2 linked regions of the Tamandua tetradactyla genome follow. The protein of the gene in region 1 purifies or fractionates together with the protein of each later gene. This does not show direct contact. Links are inferred from orthologs where the notes say so. Each region holds a gene or a part of one and is shown in the gene's direction. Other genes may lie near its edges.

What was found.
Region 2: the proteins of RUVBL1 (region 1) and H2AZ1 purify together in Homo sapiens (affinity purification with mass spectrometry; 6 studies listed by BioGRID and IntAct, with this or other methods). This does not show direct contact. The link is inferred for Tamandua tetradactyla from reciprocal best matches to the Homo sapiens genes RUVBL1 and H2AZ1.

Annotation. Positions count from the first base shown.
Region 1 is NC_135335.1:30,900,673-30,910,275, reverse strand, and holds the start of RUVBL1 (ruvB-like 1), read left to right. Parts: upstream 1-4,624; 5' UTR 4,625-4,728; coding exon 4,729-4,869; intron 4,870-4,948; exon of another isoform or gene 4,949-4,974; intron 4,975-9,054; coding exon 9,055-9,141; intron 9,142-9,603. UniProt on the Homo sapiens protein: Possesses single-stranded DNA-stimulated ATPase and ATP-dependent DNA helicase (3' to 5') activity; hexamerization is thought to be critical for ATP hydrolysis and adjacent subunits in the ring-like structure contribute to the ATPase activity.
Region 2 is NC_135350.1:24,381,860-24,391,462, forward strand, and holds H2AZ1 (histone H2A.Z), read left to right. Parts: upstream 1-4,670; 5' UTR 4,671-4,852; coding exon 4,853-4,855; exon of another isoform or gene 4,856-5,059; intron 5,060-5,273; coding exon 5,274-5,351; intron 5,352-5,639; coding exon 5,640-5,753; intron 5,754-6,083; coding exon 6,084-6,213; intron 6,214-6,469; coding exon 6,470-6,531; 3' UTR 6,532-6,909; downstream 6,910-9,603. Other genes in the region: DNAJB14 (dnaJ homolog subfamily B member 14), read left to right, coding at 8,373-8,505. UniProt on the Homo sapiens protein: Variant histone H2A which replaces conventional H2A in a subset of nucleosomes. Nucleosomes wrap and compact DNA into chromatin, limiting DNA accessibility to the cellular machineries which require DNA as a template.

The DNA of each region.
Region 1 (9,603 bases):
TAGTGTGTGGAACCCTTGTGGAATCTCAAATATTGCCTTAGGTGTTCTTTAGGATTGGCTGGAATGGTCCTGGTTGGGGTTGGCAGGTTATGGTAGGTAGCAAGGTCTACACCCTTGACTTTTGAGACAGCAGATTTAGGGGTGCATCAGGAATGAAAGCCATGTTGCACTGGGCTGAAGACTGACTGGGAGGACAAGGAGGAGAGTCAGTGAGTGCAGAACTTTGCTGTTCCTCAGAGAAGGTGATCAGTAAAACAGTTCTGAAGAATGTGTGACGGGAAAGGTTGAATGTGGTTATATCTGGAATAATCAGGACAAACAGAAATACAGCAAAAACAGGGTCATGCTCTGCTTTTAGCCTCTCAGAGAGGCCTCTGAGAGATAGAGCGAGGGTCCAGATCATTCTCTAGAACCCAGTTAGTGAGATTAACTTGCCCTAGAAGAAGGGACAGAGGAGACAGATACAAGGAGAACGCAGCTGTAGCAGGAATAAAGAAGCTTAGCATGGAAACCAAGAGTTGAATCCCCATCTACCATCTTCCCTTTTTATGTAGGAATAGAATTTTTAGCTGGGCACATATCCATTCAGCTAAACACTACATTTCCCAGACTTCCTTGCAGCTAGTTGTAGCCATTTGATTAAATGCTGGCCAATAGAATGTGAGTTGAAATGATGGTGCAACATCAAAGTCAAGGTTCAAGGGAAGGAGCATGTCTTCCACTTTCCCCTTTCCTCTTTGATGACTCAAATGCAGTCCTTTGGCGGATAGGTGGAGCAGGCATCTTGGACCATGGGATGGAAATCTGTATGGGGAATGGCAGAGCAACAGGGTAGAAAGACCACAGGTCCATAATGATCATGGAGCTCGGGAACTAGTCAGAATGCTTTCCTGGACTTGATGTATGAAAACGTACTATCTATCTTGCTGACATTCCATTATTCTGGATTTCTCTGTTACTGCAGATGAACTAATACCCTAAGCAATGCACATTTAATAATTACTCCTTGGAGGAGGCAGCTCCAAGGGCTCAGCTGAGCTTGGAGACTGTGGAATGGCTCCAGGGGGCCTCTGGGTGATTTTTTCCTACCATAACCAGCAGCTCCTGTGAGTTAATGAAGAAGACAGAGAGGTAGGCTTGACCTGGGCTTGTGAGTTCAAAGGGCAGGCATGGCAGAAGTCAAGGAAAGGAGGTAGCAGAAAGGTTGAGAGGTGAGAGGCTAATTTGATTGATCTTAGGCTAGAGAAAAGAGGGGCTGAGGAACTGGAGATCAATGTACCAGGGTCTTGGGAGTGAGAGAATGAGAGCTGGCAGGCAGGATTGGTTGTCACAAAGAACAATTCTGGAATGTAATGGTCCACACAGTTAATTGTATTTATGTCAGTGCACTGATATGGATTTTTAATTGCTTCGAATAGAAAGTTAACTCAAACACTTTTTTTTCTTTTTGCATAGGCAGGCACGGGAATTGAATCAGGTCTCCGGCATGGCAGGCGAGAACTCTGCCGCTGAGCCACTGTGGCCCACCCAACTCAAACAATCTTAAGCCCCAAAGTGCAAAGTTACGTGGCAAGTAAGGCAGTTTGGATCCAAGAATGTAAATGATTTCATCAGGAGTTTCCTTCTCTCAGCTTTGCCTTCCTTTGTATTGGTTTCATTTTCAGGCAGGGGCTCCCCATGAAGTAGCCAAAGCTTCTCTCTTCTGAAATTCCCAGTATTGAAATACCAGGGCGAGGTGGGTGGGATATTCTGATAAGCCAGGTCTAGGCACTCCTAGAAATAAAGGTAGGGGGTGGAGTGGGATCAGCCCCAAACTACTGGGTCTACAGTGGGGGAAGACGGGATTCCTAAAGAAAATGAGAGTCATGGTACCACAAGAAGAGGGGATGGATGCTGGTAAAATAACCATTGTGGTAGTCAGATTCAGGTGTCAACTTGGCCAGGTGAAGCACCTAGTTCTGTTGCTGTGGCTATGAGCCAATGGCATGTGAGCCTCATCTGTTGCTGATTCCATCTGCAGTTGGCTAGGAGGCGTGCCTGCTGCAATGAATGATGTTTGATTTAGTTGGTTGGTGCTTAAATGAGTGAGCTCAATGTAGCACATCCCATGCAGCTAAGCATACCTCATCTTGGCACTCGCAGCTCAGCCCACACCTTTGGAGCTGTAGAAACGAATCATCCCAGGGAACTTGTTGGAATGCTGAGGCCTGGAGAGAAGGCCAGCAGAGATGGCTTTGTGACTTCCCATGTGAGAAAGAACCTCAGTTGAAAGTTAGCTGCCTTTCCTCTGAAGAACTATACATTAACTAAATAAATCTCCTTTTATTGAAAGCCAATCCATCTCTGGTGTGTCGCATTCTGGCAGCTAGCAAACTAGAACACCCATGTTCACTGATGTAGGCCTCACCTGCTCTTCATGTTCAGCACATTGTATATCTCGGATTCTGTTCTGCTGCAGTTGAAATGAAAAGGAACCAGGTCCAGGATCTTTTCAAAACACTGTGAGTGAGAGAGTCTAGGCTCCAGGATTTGGTTGTTCTGTGACGTTGGGCAACCCCCATTCCTTTTTGGAGTCTCAGTTTCCCCACCTGTAAAATGAGGTCGCTTGGCCATATCAGCAATTTTTGAATAATTCTTTAGCAGTAAAATGAATGGAACAGTTCTGGTGTGGGGGGAGAGGGGCATGGAGCTGCTGTCATGCACTCTCAACCTTCCCCTTCCCCACTCCTACTGGCCACAAAAGAATACTACAACTACAAGGAGTGTGGTGTGAAAACCACTGGACCAAGTGGTCCCAAGGAGTCTTCAAACTTTAAGATTGATCCTTAGTTCTCTCCCATATTTGGCTGGAAGGAAATATTTCTCTTTGCTCAGTGCCAAAGAGACACAGTTTGGAGCCCCTTAAATGGATAAATGTAAAAACATCTTCCCCTACCTGAACAATACATAAAGGTGTCAGCCCACAGAGCACCTCACTTTGACAACTAGTTGGGGAAAAGGTTTCCTCTTCCACCTGGTGAAAGGAGTTGCTCATCTAAGAATCATGACTGAGAATAAGTCACTAAGATGCCAAACAACCTTGCAGGGTGTGTAAGGAGTCATGGCCCTAGGGTTGATGAATCACAGGCCACTGGTGACAAGCTCAGCCTTTCAAGGACTTATCTCTACTCTTTCAGGTTCTGAAAGTGCCAGAAAGCCCCATTCATGGACAGAAACCATCACCAAGTCTCATAAAACCCAGGCTGTAAAATTCATGCAGCAAAACTGCCTGAGTTCAAGTGTGTGTGCGGACTCTGGAACCTGGTTTGAGTTCATAGGAAGCCTTTAATTATAAGCCATGTTGTATGCTGGGCACTGAGGTTAAAAAGCAAAAAAACACAAATGCACCCTATGCTTTCATAATACCTGCAATTTAGTCTTTAGGGAGACAAACAACGACCCAATAATCATGCAAATAATTACAAATTTAGATTCAAAAGTTAGAAAGGAGAATATCAGGAGGTGTGACAGGGACTACTGCAGCTGGATTTTACTTCAACCTTAACACAGGCTCTGGAATCCCTCCCATTTTCACCTCAGTTTTCTCATCTGTAAAATGGCAACATATTATGTGCTTCTGAGAAGTCTCACCCACTTGTCAGGATTCAACCTAGCCATCATTACCTTCGTGATGCTTTTCCTGGCGCCCCAGGCTGTTTCAGGGGCCGCTGGTTCGCCCACCATCTGGTTGTATCTGTTCCAGCACATCTCACACTGCCTGTTTCCCAACCAGGGAGCAAATTCCTCAGGGGTAGAGATCTCATATCCCCAGTAAGTTGAAGAGTCTGGCTCACAGCAGAGGCTAACAAATGTTTGTTGAATGAATGGGAGTGCTTTGGGGAGGGGAAGTGGTGGTGGTGGTAGCGTTAAATGATGAACCTGACAGGAGATGCTCACTGGCTCATTACCCACCCTGGATGGGGATTGCCCAGGCCTTGAAGTCTGAAGTCCACAGCTGGAGTTTCGCTTTTGCCGATTATCTGATGTGTTTTTGGGCAGGCCATAGTACCTCTTTTAGCTTGCTTCTTCAGCTGGCTAGGAAACGATACTATCTTTCAGGGTTGCAGAGTTTGGAAACTGAAATATTATTCACTGTTTAAACGGGGAGAGAGTGGAGGCAAGAAGAGGGGTATAATTCCAAGGAGGCAATTTTGAGAAGAGGAAGGGTGGGAGGGCTTGGCTGAGCCGGTTTTCTCCCCAGGGTGATGCAAAGTAAAGTACCTGGCTTGGGAGTCAGAAGACTTTTACTAATCAAAAGTCAAAATTTTAAGCTTCGAGCCTCTCTTTTTCCACGCTAAAGCCGAGGTCATAAGCTGAATTTAGTAGAAGAGTGTGATGTCTAAATGCGATAATATACAATGACCCCAAAAGACGTCACGAAGAACAGCATGACGCTTAAACGCGAGGCCTCCCCGCGCCCCCCGCTCCGGAGCCGGGGCAGGAAGGGCCGGTGCCGGGGAATATACCCTAGAGACACAGCCGGAAGTGGGAGGGCGGAGCCCCACCGGCAGCCGCGATGGACACAGCCCTGATCCAATGGGAGAGCGGAGGCGTTCCTGTCTCCACCAATGGAGCACCGACCAAGGCGGGCCCTTATGCACCGCCCTAGTAACGGCCGCGTGGTAACCCGGGTGCCGGGCGTGTGGTGTTCGTCACTGGTGCTGGTTATCGACTCCCCGCGTCAACAAAATGAAGATTGAGGAGGTGAAAAGTACCACGAAGACGCAGCGCATCGCCTCCCACAGCCACGTAAAGGGGCTGGGGCTGGACGAGAGTGGCCTGGCCAAGCAGGCGGCTTCGGGGCTTGTGGGCCAGGAGAACGCGCGAGAGGTGTGGCTCGGGGGCCAGGGAGTGGGGGGCGCTGAGTTGGGCCACTGCTGCGAGGGACGCGCTGAAGAGGGCGGAGGGGGGGGTCTCGAGCCGTAGTTCCCGCAGGTGAAAATGGCCTTGGGGCGTGTGTGTGTGTGTGTGTGTGTGTGTGTGTGTACGGGGAAGGGGATGGACCGCACCGGGGCTAGGTGAGGGGTCTTCTCAGGAAACCAGGTAACGCCTCCCCACGGGGCGGTTGAATGTTTGACCTCATTGACAGCACCTATTGATTGAGCCCCCTACTCGGTGCCAGGCTCTGTTCCGATGCTGGTACACAACGGGGATCAAGGTAGATATGGTACCTGATTTCATGCAAAGAGTCCCTGCTCACATCTTAGTGGGGATGCAGACAGATGATAAATATGTAAACCAACAGGCAAACAGCAAAATTATTTTGGTAGGCAGGGGTCAGTTCCTGGAAGGCTTTGTCTGCTATGATAAGGAATTTGGATTTTACCTATTGGGAATGCAGTGGGAGTTTTAAGTGAGAAAGTGACCTAATTTAAAGAATCACTTTGGTTCCCAGGGCTTTGGAGTCGGAGGGAGAGAGGTGGGAATTATGCAGAGATCTCTGGTTTATCTGCTCCAAACATCCTTGCTAACCATTCCAGTCAAATCCACTTTTATGAGGTGGCTGTGATGCCTAGTCCTTTCACATACTTAGTAATCACAAATTATTCAAGCTCTTTTTTGCAGATTAAAAAACTGAGGGCTAGAGAGGTTACTTCACCCATCTACTTGCTACTCAGCCTAATATGGTAAAGCTAGAATTGTACCCAAGTGTGTGTCTCCCAAATCGATACACTCCTCTCTCTGGCCTCACAGCCACCATTTCAGCCTGCTGTTGCTGTAAGGAAAGGCATGCTTTCTGGCGTCTGCCGTGGTGTAGCAGCTCCAAGAAACCACCGTAAATATAAGGCCAAGACTGGTGCCTCCCCAGCCTGATTGTACTATAGAATGGGTGTAAAGAAAAGTCTCTGGTTTCCTTTTTTTTTTTTATGATCATTCTGTTCTATATATATAATCAGTAATTCACAATATCATCACATATTTGCATATTCATCATCATGATGTGGTTTCCATTTTGAGGACATCATCTTTGAGGTCAAGATGTCTTTTAATTTCTCTTTATTCAGTTTTGGCTTATTGAGGACCTGGTACTGCAAATAGCTAACGTTGGTTGGGTGCTTTCTTTGTGCCAAGCACTGTGCTCAGAAGCTTCATTTCCATCATCTTGCTCGTCTTCTAAACCCAAATATTAATCGCCCCTACCCCCCTGGGCTTTATCATGAGAAAATTCAGACATTCAGAGATACAGATTGATACTTGTGTAATGAATACCCTTGTGCCTAAATGCTACAATTAACATTTTGCTATATTGCTTTATCACATTTGTCCTGCTGTCCATCTACCAATTCTCTTTTGCATTTTGAAGTGAGTTGCAGACATCAATGCACTTTACCTCTCAACTCTTTAACGTGTATGCTTTTAACAGTTATGATTTTGCAGATGAGGAAATTGAGGTTCACAAAAGTTACCATGTGTAAGGCCACTCAGGTGGTAAGTGATAGCGCCAGGATTTAAACCCAACTCTGTCTGACCACAGAATCCATGCTTTTATTTGTGGTGTTCTATTTTTAGATATGACTGTGAGCTTCATTAGGACACAGACCATGTAATATTTATTACATATGCAGAACCTTGTTCATTACAGGTACTCAGTATTTGTTTATTGAATTAATAGGTACTGAAAACCCACCTCAGCTATCAGGTCCTTGTATGACTATGGTCATGTCAGCAGCCTCCCGAGTGCATAAGAGCTTCATCTGAAAAACGAGAGCGTTAAATTAGGCGATCTCTTAAAGGCCTTTCCTGTTCTTATTAAATTTTTGATTCATTGAACATACCTAACTGGAGAGAAGTTGGACCTTAAACTGGGAGAATGCTGATTAAATGGAAAAGGTCTTGGTCTTATATCTCCAAGGTTTCAAAAGTCTTTCTTGCCTTTTTTTGAGGTTCCCAAAGATTTTCAGTGCTTTAGGATTATGATATCACAAGGTTGTGTAGAAAGATCATAATGGCTTGTTTTGATCTTATAGGAAATGCATTATCTGAAGAACAACTTCTGGGCTCTGTTAAGGCCACTGCACTTTGCTGAGCCAGAAGTAGAATACAGCATACCTACATACATTTTTGTGGGGTGGCTGTGGGACAAAGTACTTCTCCACAGGCCACGGGGATTAAAGAAAAGAGATGTGGACCCTATCCCAGAGAGCTACCTAGTGATAGAGGAGATAAAGATGTGTTCACAAGACCTGTCAGTAGGGGGCAGTGGTCTCTACCTAGGGAGAAGAGAATGCACCTTTTAGTTAATAATATATTACTTTATTCTTTCGCTGGTAGAAACTTGTATCATGTAGTCCTTGACATATAGACATTCAATAAATGCCACTTTCCCAGCTTTCCTTCTTTATAGTCAACTGTTCTAAAATATATAGAGCTCAGTAACCCATTTATGGAATATGAATATATAGTAAAGGGCTTAATATCCAGAGGATTAAAATTATTTAAAATATACTAACACTAAACACTAAGATTAATCTTGAGAATTCAAAAGGCACTTGAAAGAATCTTATGGTTCCATTGTTTTGACCTCAAGTGCAGCATTGCCAATTGATTTGCAGTTTCTGGGATAGTCCACTGATGGCCAGCTAGTAGTATTTGTCATTAATTCCTTTTTTTTTTTTTGGTGCCAAAACCCAGGAACAAACCATGTGTGCCATTGATTCTTAACTCTTAGTAGATTACTTTGAGAATCCAATAAAAGCTGTGACTTCTCTTCCTTGAGAAATGCATGTATGAACATAAACACAGATTTTTGTCTCGAGTTTCAAGAGGCGAGTGGGAATCTATCTGTGGGTCCCAGCCTAAAAGTCTCTACTTCCACTTGTTCCCCTACTGCCCATTCTCCACATTGCAGCCAACATGATCTTTTTGTACTTAGTCTTTTTTTTTTCAGGTACCTATTTTTTTTTTATCGTGAAATATAACGTATATTCAAAAAAACAATGTGTTTCAAAGCATACCACAACTATTAGTTATAGAACAAATTTCAGAGTTTGGTATGGGTTACAATTCCACAAGTTTAGATTTTTCCTTCTAGCTGTTCCAAGACACTGGAGACTAAAAGAAATATTGATACAGTCATTCAGCACTCATACTCATTTCTTAAATCCTGTCTTCTCTATTATAACTCCTCCTTCTCCTTTGATCATTCTCCCAATTTTTAGGGGTTTTTGGACTATGCCCATTTTAATTTTTTATGTTGGAAAATGCTGACAACAATATGGGATGGGGAATGGAAGTAGTTGATATTCTGGAGAGGCTGACCCCTCTGGGTTTCAGGATTTATCTGGCCTAGGAACCCATCTGGAGGTTGTAGGTTTCTGGAAAATAATCCTAGTTCATAGAACTTTTGTAGACTCTCAGATAGAGCCCTGGGTATCCCTTAAGGTTTGCAGGAAGGTTTTGGTTGGGGTTTGGCAAATCATGGTAAATAGGAGTATCCTGGCTGAAGCTTGCATAAGAGTAGCCTCTAGAAGAGCCTCTTGGCTCTATTTGAACTCTCGGCCACTGATACCATTTGTTACAGTTCTTTTCCCCTGTTTGGTCAGGTAGGCATTGTTGATCCCATAGTGCCAGTGCCAGACTCATCCCTGGGATTCGTATCCCATGTTGCCAGGGAGACTTTCACCCCTAAACAGCATGATCTTTTAAGAACATAAATCATAATGACACATAGCCTAAGGCCTTTTCATTAGTTTCTTATTGCACATAGAATAAAATTCAAACTTTACTCCAAATTATAAGAACCTATTACAAGTTTTGGCTCTTGCCCAGCTCTTCAACCTCATCTTCCCATTCTTATTCAGTGTTTAGGCATCTGTTTTTCTTCTCCACTAGAACGTGAGCTCCAAAACTACAAAGCATTTCTGTCTTGTTCACTCCTGCCTCCCACACCTAGAATGATTCCTACAGCTTACTGGCACTCAGTTGAGTGAATATATGTGAATTGTATGGACCAGAGACTGGATATTTTTCCCCTGTGAAATGTTTTAATATTGATTTATTATTTCTGGTGTGTAGGCATGTGGCGTGATAGTTGAATTAATCAAAAGCAAGAAAATGGCTGGAAGAGCTGTCTTGTTGGCAGGACCTCCTGGAACTGGCAAGGTACTCATTTTCTCTCATTTTTTTAATCTAACCAAGAAAGTAATCAGAATGTCTAAGCCAAATTAAACTCATGTCTTAACTAGTCTTTATTTAGCCAAATAGGTTATGTGTATGTTTTTTGATCTAATGTGCAGTAATACAATTGAGTACCTAAAATCCATGCTTCTAAAATTCAAATTATCTTGGCCAGCCTCAAGGAAAGTGAGAGTGAAGGCCTCATAGGGGGTTCATTGTCTCTAAAACTTGCCCTTTATCTCAAGTTGCATTTGCTTTGAAATATATTTCTGTTGGTCTAGAGCTTCATAACGTCTTGGGAGTGACATCTTTTTCTTAACTTTTTACTTTGAAATAACTTCAGACTCTCATAGGACAGTAGCAAAAATAATATAAAACCCATCCAGAGAACTCTAGCATACCCCCCCACCCTACCACCAGATGTCCAGATCCACCAATTTTAGCATT
Region 2 (9,603 bases), on another chromosome or scaffold:
ATGTCATATAATTTTGACACCTCCTTTGAGTTTGCTGTCTATTATAATAGCCACGTCTACCCTGTCTTTGGTGATTAAGTGCTGCCACCTGACTTCTGCCAACTCGGGATCCTGTCATCCCCATTGTGTTCAAGGATTCCAACTCAGTGACAGGAGTTCCTACAATAATATCTGACCTACCGAGAAGTGCAACCACAGAGTTCTTTAGGGATGATGGTGCTAGTCTCACAAATTTATTTCTCACTGTTCTGGTAAAAGGTGCATCTTCCGGACATTCTTGGGGTGTAAGAGCAGGCTTTGCATGATAAATCCACTTTAACATTCCAATCTCTCTAAGCCTCTGGATCCCCTCATCTACATTATGCCAGGGCAGTTCTGGCATTTCAACCTCAGGTAATGTTGGCCACCTTTTGATCCATGTTTCAACCAACCATCCAAACAAACTATTAACACCTTTTCTAACTGCTCAAGCTATAACACTGAATGCAGAATCTCTGCTTAGTGGGCCCATATCAATAAATTCAGCCTGATCCAGCCTTATATTCCTCCCACCATTATCCCACACTCTTAGAATCCATTGCCACACATATTCCCCTGATTTCTGTCTATATAAATTGGAAAACTCACACAGTTCTTTTGGAATATAACGTACCTCCTCATGTATGATACTTTGTACCTCACCTTTAGGGGCCTGTTGGGACTTTAGTCTAGTTATAGGTCTGGAAGAAATGAGGGGTGGTGGGAGTGGGTCAGGAAAAGAATTAGAAATATCTTCCAAGCCATTTGCTTCAGGGCCTTCATTTGCAGTTTCATCTGGTGAAACAGAATTAATCACTCCAGGGCTAATCCCTTCAGGAGGAGGTTGGGTGGCCAATTCCTCAAGGCAGGCTGGAGGTGGGGCAGTGATGTCCTCAGGGAAAACTATTACAGAGTTATCTAGAGAAGACTCAGCATGATCTAGGGCTTCAACCTCACCCCCGACATCATTATCAATCCATATGTCACCATCCCATTTTTCAGGGTCCCACTCCTTTCCAATCAATGCCCTCACTTTAACGGCAGACACCATGCAAAGACTGAGATTTCAGTTTACATTGTAAAGTTGCTACTCTAACAATAAGACTCTGAATCTGATTTTCAGAGATCTCAAGTCTACAGGTACAGGAAATAAGATTTTCCTTCAGGATACTCATAGAAACGTCTACATCTTTCAGACGGCACTTAAGCTTCTTGTTTGAAGCCTTAAGCCCATCCCTTTCATCCCTTAATGTAGGCAGTGTATCTAACAACAACCAACCAACATCTCTATAACTCTTACTTCTACAAAACTCTGTAAAGGTGTCAAAAACATTATCCCCGAGTCTGGCTTCGTATAAGCGAAGCATTAGGAGAATTGAATGATGATATTTTGACTATCTCCTTTGCCAACTCAGTCCATGGATTGGGAGTGTCATTCTGATTACGAGAATCAGAGTCCTTAGTGTCTCTGGGTCCAGTCAGAGTAGAAAACCATTCATAAAAACCCATTTTTAAGATTCTGTTTCTTAAGAACCACTCCTGGTACCAAGATGTATTAGTTAGGGTTCTCTAGAGCAACAGAATCAACAGGGAACACTCGCAAATATAAAATTTATAAAAATGTCTCACGTGACCGCAGGAACGCAGAGTTTCACAGGGCAGGCTGTGAAACTGATGACTCTGATGGATGGTCTGGATGAACTCTACAGGAGAGGCTCATCAGCCGAAGCAGGAATGGGACCTGTCTCCTCTGAGTCTTCCTTAAAAGGCTTAAAAGGCTTCCCGTGAATTGAATGTATGTAATCTGTGATCCTGGAAAGTACAAAGTTGGGCAATATGGAATTCAAACTCATGACCTTGGCTTCATCAACACTGAACTAAACAGCATGGGCTTCTCTTAACATAATCATATTTATGTGTAGAATTTGGGGAGAACTACAGCCTTTGTGTCACAAAAGTTAATATACCACCCCATATATTCTTCACACTCTGTGAAACCCTTTCACAATTTTATGAGGTTGGCTTATCTGCTGCTATGTATACCTATTTAATAATAATGAGTGGCTGAGTCTGACTCAACCCAAGTTCTTTTATTCTGGGTAAATATTTTGTATTATACCATGCTGGAACTCAGTTATTGACGACTAGTCAGTCTTTGAAGGTACATTCTTTCCACGATGCCCTAAGTACAAAGAACCAAAATTCTAATTTGGATTTCCTCAGAAGTATTCTGCCATTATCTATCTAGGCTAACATCTTTGAAATAGCTGGAAAGTCTCTTCATATTTATCGCCCAAAAAAAGGTGTTTAAAGAAAGATGTGTTTGAGAAATCAGAAATTTCCAAGTATGGGATGATCTCTCGAATTCTCTACATAAAAAGTCAAAACCAACAGTAGTTGCTAGTTGCTAGTGTTTGAGAGGAGATAGTAATTAGTTGTAGAGTGTCTGGCTGAAGTAGAAAAAAAGCTATTAAGGAAAAAGGCAATAATATTAAGACCATATAATTCATATTATTAATTTTTTTCACTATTAGCATTTATTAAGTAACTTATTGGATATGGCATTAAAAATTATGTAACTATGACTACATTACATATGTATTAGCATGAACACAAGTACTAGAGAGATAAGAGGATTAATATTTTTGCATCATGGTTTTCTCCAGGACAGGAAAAGGGGTAGGAAACCATCACATAACTGCTATGAAAAGGGAAGAAATCATTATTGTTCCATTCACTTCAGGAAGAGGAAAACTGTTGAGTGTACTAAACCAATTTCAGATTTTAGATGATCTGGTTGAGTTTATCTTGAATAGGTTTCAAATTTTGCTGATTCTACATCCAAGGAATACCATTTATTACACAGGAAAAAATATTTAGGAATCAAAGATACTTTAAAGATTATTTCATCCAGCCAATGTAGAAGATAATAGTTATCGTTTACTGAGTGCCAGTTACTGTGTGCCAAACACATGCTACTGTGTACCTTGCAAACCTTTTTCCATATTTCAATAATCACATGAAACTAGGTGCTACCATAGCCACTTGGCAGAGGCTTCAACAGTTAGTAACTAAGATCATACTGTGAGGAGGAGGTAGAGCAAACTTTAAGTCTTCCAGCTCTTGAGCTCAATCACTCAATAACTAAATAACCACTATTTAGTGAAGCAAGAGCAAATTTCTTTAGCTGGGTCTCTGACGGCAAAGATCACATAGAGTAATCTCTAAACTGGATAAGGTATTAATGTTGCCTCGGATTTCCTGACGCTTCAATTGAGCTCAAACTAACTACTTCAGGTTTCTTAGCTTTTGACTGTTATTACATCAATTAAGTGGGGGAACTGACTGACTCTTGCTATTAATAACATCATAAGAACCCCTGGGTCCCCAGGGGGAGAAATAATAAAAAAGGACCTTCTCAAAATCGTTGGGAAACCATTTTCTAGGGTTTATCTCCCAGAAATAGGGAGTTTCTCTAATCTTATAAACTCTTTCAAATTGAAAGTCAATCCAAAGTACTTTAGAGTATATACGTTGAATCTGACTATCCAATTTTGTCAAAAAAATAATAAACTATTAAACATTGTAAATGTGAGTTGCTATCACTTGTTCACAAGCTGCTGGAGATGTACACAGGTGTTACCAATTTATTAGCTGGAAGATTAAGTAGCTGGCATTATGATAGTACTTTGTGTACCGCACTATTTTTTAAGCCCACCATTTGCAACTGATTACATGGACCATCTGTAACTGACTGTGAATCATGAAGAGTTCCCCTACTGGCATTTACTGAATATTTGTAGCAAAATGTTGTGTAAAAAAAGTTGACACTTAACAGTTTTAAGGTTTCACTAAATCAACTTTAAATAACAAGTTATGGGTACAATTCATTCATGCGTAGTCTCCAGAAAAATGTTAAAGTTTCTGATTTGATTAAAGAATACCGCCTCACCCCCAAGCCTCCTGTGAGGTGGACAAAAAAGGTTTTGAGTCCAGTGAAGTGCGGTTGTTCAACTGTTTGTACCCACGGAACTAAGCGGGGGTGGATTCAAAAGTGGTGAGGAAAGAGCGGGTGGAATACAGCTGAAAACGCAGAGGGAGCTGCGGGTCTCGCCTAGGAGAAATAACTGGAAGTTTATGCCTCGCGGAGCGGGACAGACCACGGGACTTCTTCTACAGGATGCGTTTACGCTACCTGTCTGACAGGAGTAGCAGCCTGGGATGCGAAGGGGGCGAAGAAGAGGGCGCCCGGGTTCCCGAAAGAAAGCTGCGCTATGCTGGCGTGCACCGTCCGGAGCAATAGAGTACACAAGGCCTGGAGGAGCTTTCACGTGGTCTCCAGAGCTCTGCTGGGGGTTTACGAAGGGGGTGGTACTGCCTGCCTCTCCCCTGAATCCCTCAGCCCCTCCTCCCGACACGTGACCGCGACCCGCTGGTCCCTGAGCTCCTGCAGCGTAGCTCGCTCTGTTTCTTCCCTCCCGCCGCTGTGTCCTTCTTCTCCCCAGTTGCCGTCCCTCCGCCCTCCCCCACCTCTCGCTTCACACGCCCCAATCGCGGCTCGAGTTGCGAAGCACCCGCCCCTCCGTCCTTTTCTTGGCCTTATCATTGGCTGAGACCTCAAGGACGCGTCCCGAGGGCGGGTGGCAGCCATTGGTGCGATGAGCAATCCGAGTTCCCGGATGAGGGAACATTCTGCAGTATAAAGGGAGCGGGGAAGGCGGGAGACAGCGCAGTTTGAATCGCGGTGCGACGAAGGAGTAGGCGGCTGGGCTTCGCTGGGGGTTTGACTAGCCCTTTCTCTGCCTTGTTTGTTTGAGCTACAGCAGAATTCGAAATGGTAAACTTAGCAGAAGAGCTTGACGACTCCGCGGGTTTTTGCCAGTGGGAGTAAGATCCGTTATACACGGGGATGGGGTGAAGTGGCGGCTGTTGGGAACGCGCGGAGACAGGATTTAGAAGATCTGGGGGAGGTGTTTTGTCGGCAGCAAGCGGAGCAGCCTCGGATCTCGTGGCGGGCGGCGACGGTTAGGTCGCGCGCGCAGGGCCACTGGGGGCGGGCGGGCGGAGGCGCGCGGCCGCGAAGAGCGCGCGGCGGGGGGCCGGCGGGCGGGGTCGCCCCCGCGGCGCGGCGGGCCGGAGACCCCAGCGGGGCCGCGCTCGCGCCCGGGTTGCGTTGCCGTGGGGGAGGGGCGCGTCGCCCTGGTAATCCTATATTCTGCGTTCCTCCTCCGCTTTCGGGCGTGTGCGCGCCGCAGGCTGGCGGTAAGGCTGGGAAGGACTCCGGAAAGGCCAAGACAAAGGCGGTTTCCCGCTCGCAGAGAGCCGGCTTGCAGGTCAGTGGATGTTCGTGCAGTGTTAGAATCGTGACCTTTTTCCTTGCACCTCGTTTCTCGTTTGTCACCGCTCTGTGGTGTTTTGTCTGTTCAGGAGAGATGTGGTGTCGCGACTTGGGTTGCCGATATGATAAATATGGGGGGGGGGGAGCCGATCACGCGTGTCGATCCTGGGGCGTGTTGCTGCACCAGCGTAGCCCGTAATCATTGCTTTGGTGCTTGTATAATTTTTCCGTCTTTGACACTTACATCTTTGTGCATTTATGTTTGTGTGTGCTTACGATTAAGTTTCCGGTGGGCCGTATTCATCGACATCTGAAATCTAGGACGACCAGCCATGGGCGTGTGGGCGCGACTGCCGCTGTATACAGCGCAGCCATCCTGGAGTACCTCACCGCAGAGGTAAATGGGTGTATACCTGTAATCTGGGAAAGGTTTTGGTTAGGGGGGGAGGAAAGGAAAGGAGGAAAGTGATGCAAGAAAACTCCCAGGCCGTAAACCCAGCGAGAAGCCTCTCAGAACGCTAGAGGGAGCTGGTGTTCAATAAGGGATCCTGTTGGGCTTGAGTTTGCAGCTCTTGGAAATAATTGGTTGCCCCCTCTGTAGTTTTTGTTTTATCTTGCCATTCAGGTAGTCGGGGAACGATGACAATGGGTAGATCTACATTCACGAAGGTTTAATTTTGCTTTCTGGGTCTTGGCCGAAGGAGATTGATTAGATTCTGCCTTCTAGGTACTTGAACTGGCAGGAAACGCATCGAAAGATTTAAAGGTAAAGCGTATTACCCCTCGTCATTTGCAACTTGCTATTCGTGGAGATGAAGAATTGGACTCTCTGATCAAGGCTACAATTGCTGGGGGTGGTATGTAACTAAAACTTTAAAATGCTTTAGAGAAAAAAAATTCTCTTCTAGTTTAAGAGGACACATTTTTATTGATGCAGTGTGGTCGTATATCGTGAAATTTGATTTATGATATGTAACTTAAAATGCATTTTTATTTGAGTGTCACGTTTTAAAGACATTTTAAGTTGAACTGTACAGTGCCTTCATTTTAAGTACTGTGTGACTTTTTAAAATATGTAGATTAAAGTAAAATTAATCCCTGTCACTCTCCTAGGTGTCATTCCACATATCCACAAATCTCTGATTGGGAAGAAAGGACAACAGAAGACTGTCTAAAGGATGCCTGGATTCCTTATTATCTCAGGACTCTAAATACTCTAACAGCTGTCCAGTGTTGGTGATTCCAGTGGACTGTATCTCTGTGAAAAACACAATTTTGCCTTTTTGTAATTCTATTTGAGCAAGTTGGAAGTTTAATTCGCTTTCCAACCAACCAAATTTCTGCATTTGAGTCTTAACCATATTTAAGTGTTACTGTGGCTTCAAAGAAGCTATTGATTCTGAAGTAGTGGGTTTTGATTGAGTTGACTGTTTTTAAAAAACTGTTTGGATTTTAATTGTGATGCAGAAGTTATAGTAACAAACATTTGGTTTTGTACAGACATTATTTCCACTCTGGTGGATAAGCTCAATAAAGGTCATATCCCAACCTAATTGTGTTTTAAATTTGCTTGATTGTAATGGGAACTTATATTTTGAATAGGCAACTCATCCAACGACATAACTAAGCACATTTTCTTCCCTTCAAATTACATTAATTCTGTAGTTCAAAGCAGATGGTTCAACTAAAATTGTTTTAAGGTTATGTAATCAGCTTTGTAAGGTTTTTAAACTGGCAGGAGTTCCTGCAGTAGGATATGATACTGTGATTTTTAGATTAAGGTTTGGCCATCTGTACATCGAGTGGTCTATGTGACACTATTACACCAGTGCACTATTTACTTTGGTGGGCTGGGGAGGGAAGTAGGGAAATCTTGAATACAGCAGTTTCCACAGAATTAACTTGACGTTTAGACTTCAAAGATAATAACAGTGTCCTTTTTGAGTGCTAGACACTTTTTAATAAGGTCTATAATAACATTTGAGGAGATACGTTACCCCTTTTTATACAAGAAAACTAGAATTTCTTTGAAAGTGGGCTATGGTTCATTCAGCATGGCTAAGTTAAATCAACATAGAAAATGGATCGTTAGTGACTGGATTAAGTGGGTCATTTTGACACGTGGCTTCTGGCAAGTTACTCAGAAAATGTAAAATTTGGATATAGACATTATAAAACAATGGCAATCCCCCAAGAGATCGATATGACATTTGATGTCATCAGTATGACATTTTATGATAGTAATAAAAATGAAAAAGGGGAGAAAACCAAGAAGTCTCTTGTGATGGTGAGGCGTTTGTGAAAGGGCTGGTTCCTGCTTTGTTTTGGTCACGAGAACAGGACAGTGCTTTTCATGAGAAAAGTACAAAGAAAACAATGTTTCTTGTCTAATTGGTCCGACAATCTAATAGTGTCTGGGTCTGAAAGGTGTAGGTAAAATAAACAGGCTGTAAAGCGAGCCCCGGGTTGGGAGTCACACGACGCACTAACATTTATGAACAGTGCGGTTAGTGTTTCGCGGGGACTGGCTGCGTCTGCACCTGACTGGATGCTCCACCGCTAAGGTGGCCCAGAGGGAGAGCCTTCGTCGTGCCCAGGGAGTTATACTGAAAATGAGAATCCCCTCAGTCCCATCACATCACCCTGACCTCCCGAAAGCCTGGTTTGGGTCTGCGGAAGTCGCGGCCGGAGGTCAGGGGTCCGGGATCCGCGGAACGCGCCCTCCATCCGGGTAGCTTAGCTAGTATCGCCCGCCCTCCCGCTTCCTGGGGTTGGGAACCTGTAGGTGCCGCGCACCGGTCGCCGAGTCCCGGGCCAGGAGGGATGCGGTCTTGGCCGTAGCTGCCCGCAGGGGGCGGGAAGACCACCGTGAGGAGGCGGAGCTGCGAAGCCCGCCCTCAGCCCGGGCCGCAGCCTCGGTCCTCTGCGCTCCTCCCAGTTCTCCGCACGCCCCCGCCCCGGCGGCTTCCGCCCCTGGTAGCTGCGCTGCCAGAGGAAACGGAAGGAGGCACAAGCCATGGAGGGGAATCGGGATGAGGCGGAGAAATGTGTCGAGATCGCCAGGGAGGCCTTGAACGCCGGCAACCGCGAGAAGGCCCAGCGCTTCCTGCAGAAGGCCGAGAAGCTCTACCCACTGCCCTCGGCCCGCGGTGAGGACCTCAGCGTCCCTCCCCTCCCTGCCCATCCCTAGACCACCGAGTAGCCCGTCCGCTGCCCCCGCCATTGCCCCTCAGGGAGCCGGCGAGACCCCGGCCTGCTCTGTCCTGCCGCGGGGCACTGGGGAGGAGTGTCCCGACACACCCCCCGCCCCAGGTCCAGCCCCAGCCCGGCCTCCCTGGGCCGGGCTCGGGGTGGGTAAACGGAGTCCCTCTCTGCACCAGCCTGCCTGCGGGTCGCAGGCTCCGAGCTGACAGGCGAGAGTTGCTGGCTCTCGGGTCGGTTTTCGTAAATGTACTCGCGCTCATCCTCTGGGAGGAAATTTGTCGGATGCTCTCTTACCGGAGGGGGATGCTTTGAATCTAAGTGTTTAGTTGTGGGGCCCCTTCCCTCCCCAACTCACCCCCAAATAAGGCCTAGGCCCCAAATGAAGTGAGAGAAACAGGGAACTCTAGTGGCTAATTTATAGATCTCAGGTTCCACCATCTCTGGAGTCGAAAGCTATTCCCAAAGCGAACATTTCCAAATACCTTGGATGACATTATTTTTCCCTGGGAAAGAGCGTAGAGAGGAGCATACATTTGGCAGGAATGATCAAGAGTCAGTAATGATTTGCTAAATAGTATCTGAGTTGATAACACCATAATTGTCAAAAAATTAGACAAAACTCTTAGGAACACAATACTTCCTTCAGTTGAAGTCACAGTGTTCATTTTCCTCCTTGCTAGGCTTAAAGGTAATAATAATAGCCAACATTTATTGAGCACTACAAAGTGCCAAGTATTGTCAGGCATTTCAGGTGAATTATTTCATTTACTCCTCAGAATAAACCTATGTAGAGGTACAGGCTTCGTTTGGCGATGTGGAGGCAGACTTTTCAAGGATTGAATGAACGAATGAATGAAAATGTCTTATCCAAGGTCTCACAGTATGGCAAAGTCAGAATAGTACTTGAGCTGTCAGACTCCAAAAGGTCCAGAAACACTACACTCTATTATCTTGCCAATAGATGCTATTTTACTTGAGGTTTAAAGTATTTTCAAGTTAAGAAGAAAATTATTGATATCTGAATAAGAATGTAGGGCTCCCTT